Nothobranchius furzeri: one gene and its partner. The protein of the gene in region 1 purifies or fractionates together with the protein of each later gene. This does not show direct contact. Links are inferred from orthologs where the notes say so. Each region holds a gene or a part of one and is shown on either strand. Other genes may lie near its edges.

The links. Proteins that work in one complex are often made in the same cells at the same time.
Region 2: the proteins of mcm7 (region 1) and cdc6 purify together in Homo sapiens (affinity purification with western blotting; 3 studies listed by BioGRID). This does not show direct contact. The link is inferred for Nothobranchius furzeri from reciprocal best matches to the Homo sapiens genes MCM7 and CDC6.

What each region holds. Positions count from the first base shown.
Region 1 is NC_091741.1:79,972,272-79,977,080, forward strand, and holds the start of mcm7 (DNA replication licensing factor MCM7), read left to right. Parts: upstream 1-1,522; 5' UTR 1,523-1,633; coding exon 1,634-1,664; intron 1,665-2,063; exon of another isoform or gene 2,064-2,856; intron 2,857-3,335; coding exon 3,336-3,415; intron 3,416-3,639; coding exon 3,640-3,804; intron 3,805-3,905; coding exon 3,906-4,030; intron 4,031-4,102; coding exon 4,103-4,283; intron 4,284-4,359; coding exon 4,360-4,497; intron 4,498-4,574; coding exon 4,575-4,724; intron 4,725-4,809. Other genes in the region: cohesin subunit SA-1, read left to right, coding at 273-374, 464-551, 750-800. UniProt on the Homo sapiens protein: Acts as a component of the MCM2-7 complex (MCM complex) which is the replicative helicase essential for 'once per cell cycle' DNA replication initiation and elongation in eukaryotic cells.
Region 2 is NC_091747.1:65,968,848-65,973,927, forward strand, and holds the start of cdc6 (cell division control protein 6 homolog), read right to left. Parts: upstream 3,016-5,080; 5' UTR 2,865-3,015; coding exon 2,657-2,864; intron 2,590-2,656; coding exon 2,332-2,589; intron 2,262-2,331; coding exon 2,062-2,261; intron 1,245-2,061; coding exon 1,096-1,244; intron 658-1,095; coding exon 551-657; intron 1-550. UniProt on the Homo sapiens protein: Involved in the initiation of DNA replication. Also participates in checkpoint controls that ensure DNA replication is completed before mitosis is initiated.

The DNA of each region.
Region 1 (4,809 bases):
TGTAATCGGAAGGTTGCAGGTTTGAGCCCTGCTTAGTCCATCGCTGTGTCCTTGGGCAAGACATTTAACCCACCTTGCCTGCTGGTGGTGGTCGGAGGGACCGGTGGTGCCTGTGTATGGCACTCGCCTGTGTCTGTGCCCCAGGGCAGCTTTGGCTTCACACCAGCAGCGTGTGAATGGGTGAATGACTGATTGTGTTGTAAAGTGCCTTGGGGGGGACTCTAGAAGGTGCTATATCAAATACAGACCATTTACCTTGTGATGTTCACTAGGTCACAGATGCCTAATGTGAGGCCCACCAAGCAAGGAACAGCCTCTTCCTCCCAGTCTGCACCCCCTCACGAGCAGGAGGATCTGAATTCCCACCTCACCATGTAAGACTGGTCTAGAACTAAAGGGAAGATGGTTTTTGTGAATAACGTTTTAACTCTTAAACAAGCTAATTAATCTGTTTGCCACTTAGGCTTTCTCTGATAGAGGATGACATTTCAGAAGAAGAGGAGCCTGAGATTGAAGATTATGAAAGTGACCTGGAGTCTGGATACACACTGGTAAAACAGCAATACTGATAGATCTTAGCTTTAGTAATTTAGGATTGATTTGGATAAAGGAAAACTTTGAAGATCTGAGTTCAATTGGGATTTGTGGAGTTATAATACAGTCTGAAGACTTGATTTAAAACTATGTGAATAAAATAATTGTATTCCTGGTAAGATTAAACAGTCAGTCTCTCCATTTTCCCCCTAAAGCCCTCAACACGCCACACCTCTGCCAGTTTCCTGGATGAGCTCTTTGAGTGATGTACTGGAACGCTTCCACCATTTTCAGATGCCATTTTTATGTTATCAGTGTTTGAAGTATTTGCATGAATTGAAATCTCAGCCACCTGTTCATCCCTGTGACTACATCTTTATCTTCATGTTATCTGACTTGCTGCAGTTTGCCATTAAATGATTGAATTGTTAATGTTCTGATGAAAAGCAAAAACTGATATTAAAAATGTTTAGTACAGTTATCCGAATGAAAGCTAAAGCTACCTATTTTGAACACATTTTTGCTTTGTTGATGTGTTTTTTATATAATTGTTCATAAAAAGTGAAGTATTATCGGTTCGAAGTCTGTAATAAAATGGAAAAGCGAGTTAGTGGTGACAATTCATTCCAAAATTGATCATCATTTTACTCCGTTTTTGAGACACTTTTGATGAGTGTTTCAAAGCAGCCTGTGTCTGCATGCACTCTGCTGTTAACGTGTTGAGTTGTTTGTGTGTAACATACAATAAATAACACCCATTGTGATGAGTTGTGTTGTCTTTAGAACATTTCGCGCCATTAGTGGAAAACCCCGGCGGAAGTTTTCATAACCATGTGACACGCAGCTTCCTGCGATTTTCGCGCCACCAAAACGTCCCGCCCATACTTCGTGAAAGATGCGACGTGATTTGCTGCTGGCCGAGGAGAGTGGCGCCAGTTTCTACTCTTGAGACCGGGAGAAGTTCTGGCTGCATGTGAATGAATTCAAGTCTCCGGTGCAAGAAATTTGCTAAACTCTTAAGTAAAAACCTCGTTTAGGTACGTGGGCACCTCAAGATCTCGTTTTCAAGTTATTCGCCTGAACATCAACGTGTGCTGCCATGGCTCGTAAAGATTATCTGGCAGAGAAAGGTAAATAGTTGTCTGTGTGTGTCAGTAACAGCATGGGTGGTAGCAACAGGTTGGACTGAAAGTCTTAATAAATGTTACCTATATGAAGTATGTGTCTTTCAGAGTTGAATTACATGTTCATGTCCTGTTTCAGTAGTTTACGTCACTAGCGTTTTTAAATATTGCCATTTGAGTTAGATAGAAAATTACCATTTTAAATATGTGTACGAATATGCGTCATTTAGCAGCGATGTAATGGAAGTACTAGTTAAGTATTTCACAGTGAGTTTGTTAACGTTGGGTCGTCGGTAACCAGTTTAGCGTTGTCTGCTCTTTACTACCCGGTGACCCGGATGGATCCTTAAACAAAGGAAACAGGCGCCACTGTGCAAGCACATCCGGGAACGCGCACACTATCAAGACGTGTAGAGTACATAAGTAGTCAAGGAACGAGTGCAGACAGTCGGACCTTTCAAAAACTACTTTTGCAAAGTTATACTCTATGCTGTCGACGTGTGTCGGTGTAAAATAAAATGATTTAGTTTAGGGGTAATCTATGTGGTCGGGAAGTAAAGGAAAATCCTTCACCCAACTATGTTGTACTTTTTGTCAAGTGTCCGTTAACGCACCGTCTGGGCTATATTTTGATTTTACAGGGTTGAACAGTGCTGTTAGCTTTTTCGTTACTAGCTAAAATGAATTTTAATACTGATATTTGCTTCCAGCTTATTCGTTTTCAGCATAAACGATTATAGCTTTGGTTTATGTTGATCACTCACATGGGTTTGGAAGGGCTCTGTAGCAATATGTGGTGTATTAATGAATCGTATACACGCGTAGTTCCTGAACGTAGTCGTGTTCCGAGTCTAATTCAGCGAACGCACTAACCAGCAGCAATTTCTTAGTCGTCATAAACGTCTCGTGGTAAGCATTAAGCAAACCTCCTCTCGCCGCTTAGTGATTCTGTCATCAGGACATTAGAAAAGGCAGCGCAGCTGCTGCGTTCACAACTCTAAGCTAACCTGGGCTAATGTTAAAAAATGGCTGGCCACGGTTTGAAAACAACAACCGGGACTGGTTCTAGGAGCGGAGGAATCGCGGAGGGATATCTCCAGTGACTGGGCACAAAAGCCATGTGCTGCTTTGTTTACAATAACATCCTCGAACATGGAAATAACCCCACGACGCAGCAAATTTCCTCTACGGCGGTAAAGTAAGTGGAATATTAAGTTCAGTTCGAAGGCTTGTTCCGTCGCCCGTGGCGCCTAGTTAAATATCGTTGGTAGTTGTGGCTCCTTCGAGAAGTGAGGGGGGATATTTACCAGAGGAAGGGGAAAAAAGGACCGAACTGAGCGCGCCTGTTGTGTTTACGTTCCCACCCCGGGGCCATACGCTGCGTAGTACTTGTTATTTCACTCTAAAACTAGGAGACGAGACTCACATGAGCGACATTCGCTCCATGTTGAGCCCCAGTGACAGTTTATGTTGAACTGTAGCAATAGTGACTCATCGAGATTACAGGATGCCGTGTTACTCAACAAAGGGGGGCTCGTCGTAGGACAACAAACTAGCTCCCAGTGTGCAGGCCCTCTGCTGTTGGGTTTAATACTGCTATTTTAGGAAAGGGACATATGTGAACGTGGCCTTTTTATTTAGTCTTGTAAAGTGGAGCTGTTGTGTTTTTGTTTTCAGAGAAGTGCAAAAGGTTTCTGCAGGAGTTTTACACGGAGGATGACGATGGGAAGAAGGTGTTCAAATATGGAGTGCAACTTGTGAGTATAGTGAATGCTTTTTACGGAAAGAGGTTTTGTGATGTAATTCTGTTTATCTTCCTGCTTTGACAACTAGTTTGTGTTTTGTAACTAGGTTGTTTCTTTTTTGTCTCGTCGTTCTATATCGTAGTCATTTGTTGTTGTTTTTTTGTTTTTTTTTCTCACAAAAGCACATGTGTAATTGTTTTCTGAAGCTTGACTAATTATTTGTTTTGTGTGTTCAGGTGCAGCTGGCCCACCGGGAGAAGGTGTCCCTGGTTGTTGAGCTGGAAGATGTGGCTGAGGAAGACCCAGATCTGGTTGAGAGTATCTGTGAGAATGCAAAACGCTACACAAACCTGTTTGCTGACGCCATACACGAGCTGCTGCCAGAATACAAGGAAAGAGATGTATGTAGATCTTAGTTTTGAGTACATTTTTTAAATCCGCTTCCAGTGCATTTCAGATTTTTTATCTGAAGGAATTCTAAAAAGATACATTTTGTGCTTAGATTGTGGCCAAAGATTCCCTGGACGTGTACATTGAGCACAGGCTGATGATGGAGCAAAGGGGTCGTGATCCGGCCGACACCAGAGATCCACATAACCAGTACCCACCTGAGCTCATGAGGAGATTGTGAGTAGAACCAGATTCGTAATTTTCCTTGTGTGTTGGGGCTTTTTTCACTATAGTGGCTTGTTTCTGCAGTGAGCTCTACTTCAAGTCTTCCAGCACCTCAAAACCCAAAGTGGTGCGTGATATCCGGGCTGACAGCATTGGCCATCTGGTCACAGTCCGAGGCATCGTGACCCGCGCCACCGAGGTCAAACCGATGATGGCTGTAGCTACGTACACGTGTGACCAGTGTGGTGCTGAAACCTACCAACCAGTAAGATCTGGTAAAACCACTCAAGTTTTGATGTAAGATTATTATCCTCATGATGTCCTCCTCATGCACCCACCAGATCCAGTCCCCCACCTTTATGCCTCTGGTCATGTGTCCCAGTCAAGAGTGTGTCACCAACAAATCTGGAGGACGACTCTACCTGCAGACCAGAGGGTCCAAGTTTGTGAAGTTCCAGGAGCTACGGATTCAGGAGCACGTGAGGGACCTTTCTTTTGGTGTTGTCTTTGTTGTAGAGTACTCGTTTCTTTATTTGTTTTCTCTGATCTTCTGCAGAGTGACCAGGTGCCTGTTGGTAATATTCCAAGGAGCATGACTGTGTATGCTCGTGGTGAAAACACACGTCTGGCTCAGCCCGGAGACCACGTAGCCATCGTGGGAATCTTCCTCCCTTTGCTTCGTACCGGCTTCAGCCAGGCTGTGCAGGTAATTTGTGTTTCAGCTGCCTTCACTTACCCGGGTAGCTGTATGTTACCTGCCTGACTTAAGTATTAAAACTACTCAAATATCT
Region 2 (5,080 bases), on another chromosome or scaffold:
AGCCGGCTCTGAGAGCCGTTTCTTTAGTGACCGACACATCACTACATCATTCCCTTTCCTAATGTCCTGAAGAACGGTCCGGAGCGCAGGCAGAGTGTTTAGCTAACCTGCAGGAAACGTCGACGACAGTTATCCAGAAAGTAGCTAAGGGTTACGAGAGATGTTTCTGAGATGTTCGCTAGGTACTTTTAGATTTAAAAAGTCAAGAAGGGGGTCTGAAGCTGCTAGAAATAGCGACAAAGTCGCTAAGTTGGCAACACTGTGGAGGAGCGCTTCATTTGCAACTCAAGCAGCGTAGGTGGGAGGAGCAAATAATCAGCTTGTTTTGTTTTTATAATCGTTCAAAACTCAGATCGTAATCGTGATTAAAATTCGATTCATTGAGCAGCCCTAACCCAATGTTAACTTGTCTTAAAGCACCACCCCAGCAGCCGTTGCCTGTGTAGTCAGAATCCCTACCAGTGACTGCATTTGTGTACTTTCTACCGTAAACCAATAATACCGTCATTACTACAGAGCAGCCGAGACACCGTGCGGGACGAACTCTTACCAATGAGACAGAGACGAGAACTGGGCAGGTGTGGCCACTCAAAAAGGGTGTAGAGGACGTCCTGAGCCTTGCTGTCCAGCTGGTCCATTTCATCCAAAACCAGAAGCCTTAGAAGAGAAGACACACGCATGAGCCTAGGGCTGGGCCATATGGGCCAAAACTTACATCTATACTTTTCATTCAAGTCAACTCCCAGAGCTGCCTTGAGAAATTGTACATAAATTCATCAGCAGATTAAATGCATAAAGTGTATTGATTCTTGTACAACATGAACCATCGAGTTTACACGAATTAGAACTAAAGGTTCCTGAAGACATTTGTGACGTGTAGCTGTTACTGCTGATAGATGGATGACGTGAGTCCTTGTACCCCTCATAACCCTAACCCTCATAACACACAAGCTTATGTTTCAGAACACCGTCTCTGCGGGTCGTTCAGTATTTTGTTTGAAATAATATGAACATTTATGAAGAATGTCTGACACTGCCCATTCCTAGACGAGCAAGTCAGGTCCATGAAAACCAGGCAGCATGAAGGTCACTCACACAGCAGGCCCCGACGATGTGAAGAACTTCTGCAGACCCCTCTGGCCGCTGAGCACTTTCAGTTTGTCAGCCAGCAGAGGGAAGATGGAGTGGGCGCTTCGCAGACTCATACAGTTCACCAGAACCGTCAGAACCGACGACAGCTCAGCCTGATGGGACAACAACAGCTAGGTGAGGAGATGACGACATCTGTGTAGACAGGGCTGCTCAATAAATCACATTTTAATCACAATTACTATCAGAGTTTTGAACCATTGGAACAACAAAACGAGCCGATGATTTGCTCCTCTCTCATGGTTTACTCCGAGTTGCAAATCAAGCGCACCTCCCAGCAGCGTTGCCAAATTTTAGCAGCTTTGTGGCCGTTTCTAACAACCTTTCAGACCATTCCTCCACTTTCTTCTCTAAGCTACCCAGAAACCACCTAGGAACATTCCTGGATACCTGCAGGTCACAGCCTGCACTCAGGACCGTCCTTCTGGACATTAGGAAAGGGAACAACGTAGAGACGGCTCTCAGAGACTCCTGTCCCCGCAGGCTCCTGGTGAAACGGCTAAATGTGCCCGTGCAACACACACACACACACACACACACACTCCTGATTGTAGTGTGTGTGCTGCAGTGCACCTCTGCAGGGTGGGACATCTACTACATGGACTGATGGAACCTGGAAATAAATGGTTTAGGAATACGTTTCTAACGCTGATTCATCTCAGAGCAACAGACTAGTGCTGCACTCTCCCACAGCGCCGCTGGACAGGACTCAGTACCGCAGCAGGTTATGGAAGTTCACTACAACATGCATGTTTAGACTCTTGCCATCAGAATTGGGTTAGGGTTAAAGCTCAGCCTACTGGCTCTGTTACACGAGGAACCAGGAGTTGTTCTGATCTTCTTCTGATCGCCCTGATAAAGCCATGATGGAGTAGCCCTACTGCAGACAGCGCTAAAGCATGTCCAGCTCACCTTCATGTCCTTCAGGACACAGCTCAGGCAGGCCGTCTTGCCAGTCCCAGGAGCTCCTGAAATATAGAGGCTTCCAGGACGGCGCTGCAGGACCGTCTCCTGCAGGAAGGAGCGGATGGACGTCTGCTCCGCCTCTCTGGACAAGATGTGTTCAGGGATGGATGTGTGGAGCACCTGCTTCACGCTCTGGAACTTGGACTCTGAGGAGAAAAACAATGATTGTAGCACTTTGGTTCCTAAGAAACTCGTAACTTGCTGAAACCATCTTACTTTCTGCAAACAGCTGAGTGACTGGGGTCTTCTTTCCTCCAGTGCCACGCAAGGGACTTCCGGTGGGCGTTTCTGGTCTCCTAGTGGACGAAGTGGTGGTTGGACAGCGTGGTTTTTCAGAAGATGGGTCTGATGTTTGATGGACCACGACTGGAGAGTTCTCATTGAAACCTAGCTTCCTCTGGGAGGACAGAGACGTCTTTTTCTGTTTGGGAGGGGACGCCTGCAGGGTGTGGAGGTTGCAGCCGTTCTCATCACCTTTACAGAGATAAACACAAGTCAACACCTTCATGGAGACAACTCCTGACCAGCGCTGCAGACTCACCTGTGCGTTTGCGCGGGCTCAGGGGGAGTCGGGGCTGCAGGGCGGGAGACTGCCTCGGAGACACGGGCCTGGGTGGGCTTGGAGGCGGAAGGACGTCCTGGGACGCAGACCCTGGAGGTTTGGGGGGTTTTAAAGGCGCTCGGCAGGACTTGCGTCGTGGGAACGTCAGCGTGGGCTGAGCTCGAGCCTGGGAGCGGGTGCTAGGCATCCTAGCAGCTTTAGCGTTAGCTCGCCTTGCAGGACTCTCAGAGTAAAGGAGGGGTTGGTAACCCGGTCAGGTTAACCCGAACCAACCCGGATCAACGCTCACCTGCGCTCGGTCAGCTCCTCTCGAGGACGGGCTTCTCTACCGGTAACCGAGTCCAAACTAGCGCCAAAACGTCTTCTTTACCAGCTGCGTCATCCGCTGCTGCTCTTGGATTGGTCAACGCAACACTTTTCGCAACCTCATTGGTTCGGTGCTGCGGGCGGAAGTTACGCAAAGGGCGCGTTTGGTAACGGCGGGAAATACTTTTGTTTGAGTTTTAGCCATCGAGAAATGGGTAGGAAGAGCAGAACAAGGAAGGTCCCACCTGAACAGGTGAGTCCAGCTTAGCTCATCCGTCTGAGAGGTGATTGGATGAGACGGTTTCATAGCAGATCAGTGTGTGTTTACATGAACACAGAACAGTGTACATTCATGTTTACACACACACACACACACACACACACACACACACACACACACACACACACACACACACACACACACACACACACACACACACACACACACACACACACACACACACACACACACACACACACGGAGGTGTCCCCTGTCCCTGACTGTCTCCAGGTGGCTGGAACACAACAGAGACTGAACAGGATCATTTGCACTCACTAGAAATGTTTCATCAGCCAAGATGATATTAATCTGACAACAAGAGCTCTGATCTGCTCTGACTGTCAGATCACACGATTGGAATCAGCAGCATCAGTGAAGCCAGGATGAGCGTTACCTCATGAATATTAACAGGAAAATGTCCAGAGAAACTAGACACGTGTAACCCTAACCCTAACAGAATTCCACCACCATAGCACATGAGCCTAACACCTTTTTATTCATTCTGTAGAATAATTAACCAGTTATAATAATAAAGTATGTATGGAACAGTCTAGCGAGGTGACAGCTGCAGAAATATAGCTCCAACAGCAATAATGGTTCTATTCGATTCACGATTGGTCACTCTGAGCTGCGTATTCATGCTACACTCCCATCGTCTGCATCAGCTGCCCAAAGGAAAGAGATGAAGAAACTACTGTTGGGAAAAAAACTGTCTCCATTAGGCGTTTCGCATCTGGGCTAGCACGGACCGGGCTGGGTAGCGTCGGTCCGGTCCCACACCAGTAGGGTTTATTCACACTGTTGGTTGATTCTATCCACCAATCAGAAGCTCCCTCTAACGGCAGGTTGGTATTTGAGCCGGCCAGTCAGTCGTAGTGGGCATGTTGGCCTGGCCCAGCCCTGAGCAGACCACCAGAGGTTAAGGGCCAAAAACCCGCCTGGTAGGAGGGGGCAAGTACCAGATCACCCAGGGATGAAAACAATATGTTCAATGCAGGCCGGGCCGATCGGTACCAGATGTGAAACCCCCATTAAGCCGGGTGTACACTATGCAACTTTTTCACTTTTTTGAGCCGATTTTCCAGTCGTGCGAGAATCCACGACATCGGGGCGAGTTTAGCGCCGAGCGGTCGTGTACGGGGGGTTACGAGAGGCGATTAACACCACGTGACCAGCTGCCGATCAGCAGTCGTGAGGTCGCACGGACTTCTGGCGTGTTTAAAATTTTGCTCGTCCCTCGTGAGGGTATCGCACTGTTGAAGCGGCACAGCGAGCAGCTGCGACCCAAAAAGTATCAGAACCGCTCACGGTGCATGCGCAATCCTGCATCAACGCCGCTCGCCTGCTATTTCCTTAATAACACACGCTGTTCGTTTTTATTTCTACACATTTCTTTTACTCACAAAGATTGTCAAGAAAGCGTGTTTGTCGTGTTCATGTCAAATTAAACTGATCACAAAACACAGATTTACTTTCTTTATTTCGTTTTCCTCATCCAACCCCCATAAATCCCTGTGTGTCCTCCTGCAGCACTCCCGAAGGACAACAGGCAAGAGAAGACAAAAAAGTCTGACGTGTTGAGTAAAAACTGCTATTTTTAGCACATTTTTAGGGCCGACGTGTTGCTACCAGACGTACAGTGTGAGCAGTCAGGTCGCATCCGAGAACTGGGTCGTGCAGTGTGAGCGCACGACTCGTGAGATCTGCTCTGCGAGGAAGTCGTACAGTTTGAGCTGAAGCTGAGTGCTACGAGTGAAAAAGTCGCACAGTGTCCGCCCGGCTTTAGTCAGAGGGAAATATAGTATTCATGGCCCCGC